Schizosaccharomyces pombe: one gene and its partner. Changing the gene in region 2 together with the main gene of any one other region gives a genetic interaction. Each region holds a gene or a part of one and is shown on either strand. Other genes may lie near its edges.

Region 1 (4,490 bases), 2.2 Mb from region 2:
TATTATTCCTTTCACGCTTTTGTTTATGAAAAAGGACATTAACTCTTTACAAACGTTAAATCCAGATCTAATACTTAAAGATGTAAAGGCTACTCAAAATTTCCGCAGTATAATTCACAGATGGGGTTTTAAAAACTTATTTCGAAGCGCATTTATGTTTTTCTCTGGTTTAGCTTCAATCGCTGGATCAATTTACTTTTGATAACAAAACATAATTGTAATGTATCGTTTACGTGTTAACTCTTGCGTTCCGATATTCGTTGATGATCAAATAATATTAAGTTCTAATTTTTCTACTGCTGATTATTAAAACACTATATCACGTAGTTAAGTTCGTGAAATTTAAACTATTAAAAAATGCTAAAATTAAGAGAGCACATTTTTATTTTTAAAACGATTCGCTTATAAATTGTTCATACTGCTCAAACATTGTTGTTTGGATTCTATAGTTTGTCAGCTTCAAACAAGTCGACTGAATCAAATTTTTACAAAACGCTTTTCAAAAACGAAACGACTGTTGAAAAACACGGGTTGTTCAATGTTCAGTCATGCAACCAGCGATGCTTTGGGTCTATCAAGGTGTATAAAAGAATAAACATTAGCGGATTGGTTAAGTCTTCAACCTTTTGGTAATTATATGTAACCCATTAACATTTATTCGTAATACCTTTACGAAATCTCGGTATAGGATATCGTTTCAATGCTTGTTCTTCTTGCGTAATACATGAGCAGATAAGTATAGTTTTTAAAGCACTCTACAAGAACTTAACAAAACTCCTAAGTTAAATATCAAATAACAACGACTAATCCTTTTGGTTTATATAAGAGAACACCTTTTTTCGGGTCGTTAAATACATGTCCATAAATTTTGAGTTCATCATGATTGAAACGAAGACGAAGCTCAATCTAGAGAAACGAGGATACTTCATCTGTACTCATTATAAGAAATGCAGTTCATTGGTCGTTTGCAGGCTGGGCTCTAGGTTGAGAGCCATTGGAATTCCTGTATTGGTTATATTGATTTCTTGCATATCCACGTCCACGACCTCTACCACCACGTCCACGACCACGTCCACGACGGCCGCGATTTCCAGAGCCAGCAACGCCAAATGTCTCCATGTTCAAAGAACGTTCGCGATCTCGTAGAGCTCTTCTATCTGCAGCTTCCATACCCTTCTCTTTACTTTCACAACTAATATTATCAAAAAAAGATTGCTTAGGCTTGTAAAATTCTTCGGCTTCTTCATCATTTTTTCCTTTTAACAAATCATCTTTCATCGATTGAAACTTTTGATTTGCAGTTTGAAAGTCAAATTCGGTACGAGGCTTTGCAGCACTAGCATCAGGTTGAGTTGTAGGAACTTCTTTAGAAGGTCCAGATGTTTCAACGGTTTGGGATTGAGAGACATCCACAGTAGTATTCACAACACGGTCATTTGTGACAGTGGAATTCCGTATACTAGTACTTTCTTTTTCAATAGATGCTTCAATGGAGGGCTGTGCACCTGGTATCACTCCATTCGTGGGCGGCATGGATTGAAGAGACGGAGATGCAGATACCGCGGTAGGACCAGGAGCAGGCATGCCCGGAGCAAAGTTGGGAGGCTTCTGGTTTGAAGGCATTCCGTATCCAGGACGTACGTTGTACGGGGCCTGACCGGCAAACCCTTGAGAAACATTTTGAGCAAACTCAGGACGTTGACCCATTTGCTGTTGATCAGGTGCCCCATAATACGGGACCGCAGGTGTGGATGCGTCTAAGGGAGTACCCAAAGGCAAACCTCCAGGAGGTACAAATTGAGCGGGAGCATTCGGGTACATATAGTAAGGTGCACCTGCTGGAGGAGCCTGTTGGTATGGAGCTCCATAAGGGTTAGGTTGAACAGGCTGAGGAGGTTGGGCAGTCTGCGCTTGGTTCCAATTATACTGCCCGCTATTAGACTAATTATAGTTAAAATCATGATCTTGTCAGATATATAAAGAGTGCCAAAGATAATTAATACTAGATATACTAATGAGAATCTCCACCACTCTTTAGACGTAACATACCCCAATAATTGCAGGATCATTAGGAGGTTGAACCGGGGGAGCAGAAGGAGTAGTAGCAGGTTCCTCAATCCGTAAATCTTTAACATCGCTTCCACGAAAAACAATGTAATCAAATACATTATCTGATGGGGGGATTTCTTGAGAGGGATCTTGTTTTCTTCCTTCAGTACCACACCAACGGACTAAACTGTTAGTAATCAATGCTGGGTACTCAACCTACCATGCTTCAAAGCCAGTGTTGAGTCCTGGGAATTGATGTCCTGCAAAATGCCCACATAACTAAATATTAGTAAAGGAAAGATAATGCTCTCACGTACCGAATGTCAGATTTGCTAATTAGACTAATACGAGAACCAATAAATTCAGTCATTGGTTATAAACTCGACGAAGTAAAGCTTAGTGGTGAAAGGAGCGTGGTTAGGTGTCCTTTCGAAATTAACGAACTTGGCGATAGCGCTAGTATGGGGTTCATTATACCGAGTAAATAAGACCAAAATGCGACATTGTCATTTATAAGCTGTTTTTTCATCAGTTTTTATATTTATTTAAAATTAACATGCTTAAGATCAAAAAGGCTATCCACAGCTGCTCTGACCATGTACTACTTATTTTACTTAAATACGTATATGTGCAGCAGTCAAATTGTAACTAATTTTATACTTATTACAAGTAATCTATTTTTAAAAAGAATGAAAATGCCAAGCAAAAGACACTGTACTTTAACGCTCTTCAAAATTGAGTTAACCTGAAACCGCACCGTCAATTACATTATCCAACTAACATATTCATTTTCTGATACGTATGAAAATTTTAAGTTAAAGAATGAAACAAAAAACTTTTTAATATAACAAAAACCTTTTCCCAATTCAACGTAACTGAGTTTATGTCCAAAATTGTAACTCCCCTTGTTGATCTAATAGAGTAGCCTTGAAAAAAATATTCCAAAAGTAATATTTCATATCTAATTTTCCAATTTTGCTTTTTTGACAGAAGAAGTTTCTTTCTGGCCCTTACGTTTTGGAAACCTTCCGGCAGCTAGATTGCTGTCAGAAGTTAACACCTTGATCCCAGATAAAACGAAACCCATATCACCCCTAACAGTCATGAATGGATGAGTCCTTTCTGGCAAGACTTGGTAAGGTCGTGTACGAATCTCATGAATATCCAGCATGATGACTTTCTCTTTCTGTGTATCAATAGCAACGTCTCCTTGATCAACCTTTTCGTCATTTTCAGTACTTTGAGCTGTCTTTTCTACAAATAAGTTATCCCATTTAGATAATTGATGATACGTCTCGACTAAGACTTGCTGATATGTTGAGTATACCATGAAAGGACGTGATATACCGAGCTTTGGAAGAAGATGTTGAAGAACAGACATTGGGGTGTGAATAGATAGTATAAAGAGAGCATCATAGTTACCACTTTCAAAATCATCAATAGTATTCTTCAAACGGTTAAATGTAGCTTTCTTCGTTTCATAGCGCTTACGGTGGCGAAGTTTCATCTCATTCAACTCTGATTCAGGAATATCTTCAACCGAATACTCACTTAAAGTCTCGGTTGGATTCGTAACTTGATACCAATTCAAAGTTTTCAAAATCCCTTTTTGAACCAAACTATCCTCTTTAAAGTCTTGCCCCCAATACTCTAAACAAGAGCTATTAGGTTGCTCATTTGGATGGACCAGGGTTATTTTGCAATCACCAGCAACACGGTCAATAAGAGAACCAAGGAACATGCATCCAGTCTCATCAACTACCAAATATCTACCCCCAGGTTTAACATTTCCAAGAGTAAGCATCAAGCTTATACACTCGGCAGTAAGATCAAGTATCTTATACGGATCATGTTCAATCATGTAATTAGCCACAACTTCAACACAAGGTCGTAAAACCTGAAAGCGTTGAAGATACTTTTCCCCTTTTCTCGTAACATATTTCTCCTGAGCAAATAAAGTTTTTTGCTCAAAAGTTTTACTACTATTAGTCAACTGTTTGATGGCCTCTTCAGCACGAAGTCCACCAGCTTTAATGTTTGCGCGCAGTTCATCAATCTCCTCTTGAGTCATAAGCTGATTGCCTCGACAATCATTAAGTTCTTGATTCGTTTTCTTTTCTTCCTCGATATACTGTACCTCCCTTGTTTTTAAAACTCGAATTTTTTTGGGTTGATAAATTTCAAAAGTTTCGTCAAAATGCTTTCCAAACAAATCATCAGCGAGAAATGAACCAAATTTTCCGAGGTGAATTGTACTATTTAATATAAAGTCAGTAAGATCAATATGAACGAGATAAACTAGATCACCTCTATCTCCTTATGCAAAAAACAATTTCAATTGCTATCATTGAAAATGTACTTTAAATTGTAAATTAAGATCCTCATACTTACTTGTTTGGTTTCAATGTTACAAAACGAACATTGTCTGAAGGAAGCTTGAT
Region 2 (7,647 bases):
GACTCATCTTTTCATAAAGAACGTAATAGACATTTAATTGCATATAGTAAAATCCTTGGAATAAGGGAGCAATGAAGCTCTGAGCCAATGCAAATAGTTTAGGTAACTCCTCCTTCAGCATTTCATTATAATATTCATATTCTTGGGAAGATTGTTCAAAGGCGGTTTCAGCTTCATAAAGCTTCTTCTCATCTTTAAGGCTTTTATCCTTCTTTTCCTGAAGTTTCTTGAAAGATGAACGATGACGATCATAATCCAGCTGCTTATGATCGCGTTTCAACAAAAGCTTATCTACATCCTTAACAATCTTGAGCAGTTCACCAGTTGGATTGACAATGCGAGTGTTGATAACATCCATTTCAGAAGCCAAATTCTTTTGGAGATCGTATACAATTTCCTTGTAAGCCTCGGCAGCCTCAATACCTTCCGCATTGCCTTCTTGCTCATACGATTCAGGATCCGAAGCACGCCCACTAATAGGCTTGTAAATTTCAATACAAGCATCGGCAAATCCAATTTGATGATTCAATAACCCATTAATAGCATCAGTATACTTTTTGGCGTCTTCAGCCAGCTTTTTCGCTTCCGTTTCTAAAGACTTAAACCGTCTTCCAGCATCCTCATAAATAGGATCTTTGGTAATCTCTCCAACATTAAACTTGCTGCGTAGAGTCTGCGGCGTACGCGCAAGTGCCTTTGTAAACCCTTTCCAGCTCATCAAGTAATTCTGGTAGTTGGTATGTCTGACCCTTTCAAATTCCCTTAACCATCCTTCTCCGTATTCACGTAGCATACTTCGCAGCAATGCTGATCGTTTCCTGTAATTGTGCCGAATCGCAAATACAGTATACTACGCAACGTCTCGTTATTTTTATTTTTATTTTTATCTAGATGAGGTGAAAACATAGTAAATATAAGGCAAACATTTGATTTTAATTTGCTCGTCTCTATGCTCTTTATTACAGTTTTTATTCGATTGAACAGTGTCTCCGTCGTTTACGATGCAATGATAACATACTGATAATTGCGCAGCTCTACATGTATTGGGTCGAAGCTTAGTTTTGGTTGGTTTCAGATACGCCGCCAACCAAAATTTTTATTAGTCAGATCGCAAAATTTGAACTTAGCAACTGCCAAATTATTTTAAAAAGGACTTGTTTCTTGTTGTTTAGGAAATAAATAAAGAATTAGCAAAATTTCCTCTATTTTGGAAACAACCATGTCCAAAATGGGAAGTTTGATGCTTTCTAGAGCAAGATGCCTTCTTGAACTACGAAGTGCTTTATTTTTTGTCAAGCGAGAGAGTCAGGATATTAATAATGTTAGACAGAGTCTTGGAGTTTACGGTAGGTCGTTTATGACTTCCAGTCGTATGGACAAACCTTCAATGAGCAATAAACCTCGTGAACAAATGTACGGGCTAGGAAACATGACGGCGGTTCAAGAGCCCATACCGGAAAATTCTTTGAAAACAGTAACTTTGGATCAAGCACAAACCGCTGCTAGTACGGTTACGGGATTGCATCCTATATATATGGATTTTCAAGCTACCTCTCCTCTCGACTATCGTGTACTAGATAGTATGCTTCCCTTCTTCACTGGAATTTATGGAAACCCACATAGTCGAACACACGCCTATGGCTGGGAAGCAGAAAAAGCTGTTGAAAATGCACGCCAAGAGATAGCATCTGTAATCAATGCTGATCCAAGAGAAATTATTTTTACATCTGGCGCAACTGAATCAAATAATGCTATTTTGAAAGGTGTTGCCCGATTTTACAAAAGTAGGAAAAAGCATCTTGTTTCCGTTCAAACTGAGCACAAATGCGTTTTGGATTCCTTACGTGCTCTCCAAGAAGAAGGGTTTGAAGTTACTTTTCTACCTGTTCAAACTAATGGCCTTATTAATTTGGATGAATTACGTGACGCCATACGTCCTGATACTGTTTGTGTAAGTGTAATGGCCGTCAATAATGAAATTGGTGTTTGTCAACCACTAGAAGAGATTGGCAAAATTTGTCGACAGAAGAAGGTTTTCTTTCACTCAGATGCTGCTCAAGGATATGGAAAAATTGACATTGACGTCAATCGAATGAACATTGATTTAATGTCTATTTCTGCTCACAAAATTTACGGCCCTAAAGGAATTGGAGCCGCTTATGTTAGAAGACGTCCTCGTGTACGTTTAGAGCCGCTTATTAGTGGTGGAGGTCAGGAACGAGGTTTACGAAGTGGTACTCTTGCTCCATCTCAAGTAGTGGGATTTGGTACTGCGGCCCGTATATGCAAAGAAGAAATGAAGTATGATTATGCACATATTTCCAAACTATCCCAAAGATTAATAGATGGCCTTCTTGCAATCCCATATACATCTTTGAATGGCGACCCTAAATCTAGATATCCAGGTTGTGTCAACATTTCTTTCAATTATGTAGAAGGGGAATCGTTGCTTATGGGTTTGAAAAATATCGCGCTGTCTTCTGGTTCTGCCTGCACATCCGCATCTCTAGAACCGTCTTACGTTTTGCGTGCAATTGGTCAGAGTGATGAAAATGCTCACAGTTCTATTCGTTTTGGTATTGGCCGATTTACAACTGAAGCCGAAATTGATTATGCTATTGAAAATGTGAGTAGACAAGTTTCTTTCTTAAGGAATATGAGCCCGTTATGGGATTTGGTTCAGGAGGGTGTCGATCTTAGTACTATAGAATGGAGTCAACATTGAAGAACGCTTAATTTTACCTATTGAAGATTTTATTTTTTTTTTATATGAACGTATGGAAGTTGAAACTTTTTACCAGCTGTTATATAGTTACAAAAAACTAAATTGTAAATTATCTCATACTTGATTTGAATCTATACGAAATAAATACACGGTTATGATATAAAAAAAAACATAAATTTGATAAAAATAAAATATAGTACCATTTAAAAAATATGTACCCCCAAGTCGTCAAAATTATAGCCAAAAAATGATATGAATCCAAAGCATAAACAAAAAATGTTAAGGAATATAATTAAAATGTAAAACACTCATTGAGAACGGGTACTTGCCTGACGATAAATATCGAAAAGCTCTTCTGTGTAGCGAAAACATTCATCTCCCCATATGGACATGGCGTTGGCTGGATCGCTGCCATTGTACATTTTACAATTAGCAAAGATTCGAAGAACTTCTCGATACAATTCATCCACTTCCGTGATGTTACCCTCTTTGATCATATTCTTCAATGTTCGTAAGTCTTGAGGTTTATAAACTAAAGAATCGTAATCTGGTGCCTCTTTACGATTTACAGGATGACTAAAAGGTGCTCCAAACCTGTGATTAGAAATATTGTCGAGCATAGGAAGCATTGCACTTTGGAACTTTTTCAAAGACTGCTTTTCTTCATTAGACAGGGCAGCGCGCTTTTTTGGAGTCTTAGTTGTGGGTGCAACTTCGGGTTCGATATTTGCAGGAGCTGCAATCTCTGGTGTTTTCTTTCTAGAACGAAGAGATTTATTAGCAGCCTCTACAGGAGCTTCAGTTTTCGCTTTTTTTGCTTCCTTGTCAGCTTCTTCAAGTGCGAGTTGATCCTCCACAGCTTTTGCCTTTGCCTTTGCAACCTCTTCATATAAGCTTTCCAGTTTTTTTTCACATCCCTGTATCTCTTCAGCCAAATCCTTTAGGACATCGTTCCGCAGCCTTTTTCGTAGATTTTTTCGAGCATCATTATCGTTTTGAGAAACTTGGTTGGAGAGAAGCTTTGAATCAGATTTATTGCTATCATGCATCCATTCCTCGACCAGATCCTTTAATTGATCTTGTTCAATTGGCTCTAAAAGCAGGCTGCTTTCTGCCGTTCGATTGAAGAGTTCTTCGTTGGGAGCATTAGGATTTTCTTGCTGAATATCAAGATATTGTAAAACAGCAACCTCTTGAGCAATATTCATTATGCACTATACTTGCATCATCTCCACTAATTTTACAAGACAAGACACGGTAGAAAGGGAGTCCTTCTTTTCGTAGTGTACTACCTCCTTCATACGGCGTGCGCGTAAAACCTAAATTCTCGTTAGAGATTGCTGTAAAACTTCATTAACGCAACAATGCTAAATAATTTACGTTAGTTGCCAACCTTACACATGTTGCATATCTTAATAATTCAATGTCTTAGTTTGAAGACTTCTATAGAATTGCAGTTTGTCAAATTGTAATTGATTCCTATGATACCAGTGAATTATGTTCTATAAACCTTTTGCGTAAAATCTTTAAATTTTGCTGGATAGTCACATCATACTAACCAAGTTTCCAACGTTTTCTGTAACTAACGCAATATTGAACAGATCGCAATAAAAATCATCGTATTTTTACTGCATCCTTAAATTAGATAAGGTATTTTGTAGATGACACCGTTTGATAAGTTACTTTAAATAAGTTTTGCGATTGCAATTAAAGAATCTGATATGTAAGCTACGCAGTTTGGTATCTGATTTAAGGATACGTAGAACTGCGGTGAGTTTTCCTTGTGATCTATTATATTACAATACACAGGTTGTATAAGTAGCAACTGAGTATAGGTATTGTATTAACTGGGTTATAATGTTACCTATCACTAATATAGCTCATAACTGAACTGAGGAACGAGGTTCAGCAGTAGCTCTATTTATAGTATTCAGATAATATTGATCTTAATAGATTATCATTAAGATCAATCTCCATATCGTATCATACATGGTACGATATATAATTAGAACATGTGACATATAGTGATACGCAACGTAGTGTATCATAGCGTAGTGTAGTATTGCTGACATGATATACAGTTTAGCAAGCTACTTAATTCCTTTTCCGTCATCACAAATAGTTAAGCTTTAAAGTATCAGTTTATAAAGCATTGCATACCACAATGAATTGCTTAAAACAACGTTATCAATAACCTATGATAACGTCGGACAGACTGATATCTGATTTCCTTTGTAATTTTTCATTCTTTGTGCCAAATTGATCCGCTGCATTCCATTGCATTGTAAACTAAAAAAAAAGATGAAAAAAAAATCTACGGATTTATACGGGTAAGTAAAGATGTGAGAAGATGGTAACAAAATGGGTTTGCACACAAAATAGGGTCTTTCTCATTGGATATATGCAGAACACCTATGTTATTACAAATCCATACTTTTCCATATTTTGGGGAAGTTTGTTTAAAAATACAACGATTCTTTTTTCTTTATGTATGTGCCGAAATGCTAATCTCTTTATAGCCGTAAAAATCCCGGGATGCAATCGATGTCAGGATCGTTTTCATCCTTGCAAATTGCGTTGGATGAGTCCAGCTCAAATTTTAGTACGATATATGAGCCTCCAGACTTGTCTGGTTTAGACGCAGAAATGATTGTTATTGTGAAGAATTTGCAAAAGCGTGACATCGTAACGAAATGTCGAGCTTTACAAGATTTAATTCAGTGGAATGACCCATCACAGTTTGACAATGAACAGTTTCTAAATGCTTTGGCAGTTTTATTTCCTCGACTATCTATAGAAGTGGAACGACATGTGCGGTTAAAAATCTTTGTCTTCATGTCTGTTCTATCTTCTGCGCTTCAAAAAAAACTTGCACCATGGCTCAAATTCTATATCACACCTTGGGTTATGGGTTTTTTTGATTCAGATCGTGCAGTCTCTGTATCAGCAAAAGACTCTTTTAAAAATTTACTCTCCGAAGAAAAGTGGCCCCATGTTTGGCTGAAGTTTGGATCTACTATCGCACCTATAGTCACTGATGTTTTTTTACATGAAGACAAAGAATCGTTAACGGATTTGCGTTTTTTTTCAAATGAAGAAGCTGAATCGAAAGTTACCAGAGTTAAATCTAGCTGTCTTCTGACCCTTTCTTTTCTTTTCAAACAGACTGCCGATTTAGAAAATCTAGAGACAGATAAGAAGATAGATAAGCAAACCTTTAAGTCATCTCTTTACGAGAACTTGTCTACACTTTTCAAGTCTGACGAATTTTGGTCTTTGGTTTCCTCACCTCAGGATGGTGTCACAGTGAGCCTGAGCGATTTATTGCTCATTATCTTGAAGTATGATAAACCTTTTGTTACCCAATATAAAGAGAAATATTTTAAACGTGTTTCACGAATGATTTCACGACTAACTAGTTTGACCTGCGTCCCTATGCTTAGGCTTCTTAGTAACATGATTTCTAATTTCCCCAACGAGGTTCACCAATTTGCAAATGATTCAAAACGTCCTCTTTCAAAGTTGTTCTCAAATTTGATCACCAAGCGAATCAGCCTTCCTAATTCTGGGTTTTACACATCCTTGCTGAATTTGTTTAAAAGTATAGGCGCTATGCAGCTCGTTCCTTCCATTGAAAGTGTAGACGAATTGTGTGATGCATTCTTAGAAACTGCAAATCAAGAACAACGTTTCCTATCTACTGAAGTTTATGACTGTTTACTCAATTTCTTGTCATTTGTTTATACCGATTCTTCCGATCCTCAAATTAAGGATCATGTCCGTGACCGTTTAAGGACTATATTTACCAGGTATTTTAAAGGTGAATTTGTTCTACGCTGTTCAACGTCTGATTTCGATCATTGCTTGCAAAGTGTATTCGATAAAAATTCAGATTTCGCCTCGCTCTGGAACGAAGTGTTATTTGGTTTCTTTAATGATGAATCTATGGACATTGAAACTATCCCATTTGATTCTTTATCACGTAACTTAAGCTTAACCGTTCAAACAGTTTTATATCTTAAAAATAGAAATTTTCAAACTGGAAATGAAGTCATGTCGATTCTGGGACCTTGTTTGTCATTTTTAATGAAATTGTCTACCCACAAAAATGAACGTATTGCATGTTTATCGGCATCCCAGTTAATAACTGTTTGTCACATATTCAGTGATACTACATTGATTAAACCCGTTAAGGAACTTTTTCAAAAATATTTGGTGAATGATTTGCCTTCTTCGATTTTAAAGCTTGGGCCTCAATCTCCAGCCTTTACTTTGCTTCGTGATATTCTTTTACTTCTTAAAGATTACGCGGATCTCTCTGAGCCTTGGGAAAATGTTGCTAATCAATTCACAGTGTCCTTTGATGAACTGGAAAATATTAGGGTTTTAAATAGTCTTCCCTCTTTGTTTGCTGATGGAAAACTAAGGGGGAAAATTTCCTTGGTAAAAACATTAGTAGAATACTATGATACAGCAGTATTTGCTATTATGCAAAACCCAGGAAACGATTGGGATATGATAAGAGCGTGCATTGGGTCTAAGGAAATCCTTGTTCCAGAAGAAACGATTAAAAATATTTTGTTTACGACCTTGGAGTATTTTCTTACGAATGATTGGGTTGATAATCATTTGATTATTTTGTGCGCATCATTGCATTCTCTGAAAGCTCATCTTCCAACAATATTTGATGAAAATAAATCCTTGTATTCTTTGCTTCCTGTGATCCTTTTCAGTAAACCAGAAGATGATGGCCATGTTGCAGCTCATTTTGAAAGTATCTTCTCCCTATTGAAAGAGAAAGCATTAGAAGATTCCGGTTTTTCTCTTAAACTATGTTCAGAAGTGCAGGAATGGTCATTGAATAAGGTTTTGAATGGTTCTATAAATGAAAAGTTAGCTGCTGATAAGTGTGTTCTTGTTTT

Evidence for each region. A genetic interaction does not mean that the proteins touch.
Region 1: mutations in bdc1 (region 2) and sum2 together harm fitness more than expected from each alone (negative genetic interaction), as found in Schizosaccharomyces pombe (2 studies listed by BioGRID).

What each region holds. Positions count from the first base shown.
Region 1 is NC_003423.3:265,419-269,908, reverse strand, and holds sum2 (translation initiation inhibitor), read right to left. Parts: upstream 2,454-4,490; 5' UTR 2,420-2,453; coding exon 2,367-2,419; exon of another isoform or gene 2,329-2,366; coding exon 2,270-2,328; exon of another isoform or gene 2,232-2,269; coding exon 2,050-2,231; exon of another isoform or gene 1,942-2,049; coding exon 955-1,941; 3' UTR 501-954; downstream 1-500. Other genes in the region: SPOM_SPBC800.14C (uncharacterized protein), read left to right, coding at 1-202; trm6 (translation initiation factor eIF-3 gamma subunit Gcd10), read right to left, coding at 3,011-4,304, 4,441-4,490. UniProt on the Schizosaccharomyces pombe protein: Required for G2/M phase checkpoint control.
Region 2 is NC_003423.3:2,421,541-2,429,187, forward strand, and holds bdc1 (bromodomain-containing protein 1), read right to left. Parts: upstream 3,985-7,647; 5' UTR 3,934-3,984; coding exon 3,034-3,933; 3' UTR 2,875-3,033; downstream 1-2,874. Other genes in the region: BAR adaptor protein Hob1, read right to left, coding at 1-718; cysteine desulfurase Nfs1, read left to right, coding at 1,220-2,725; rkr1 (ubiquitin-protein ligase E3), read left to right, coding at 5,027-5,055, 5,245-7,647.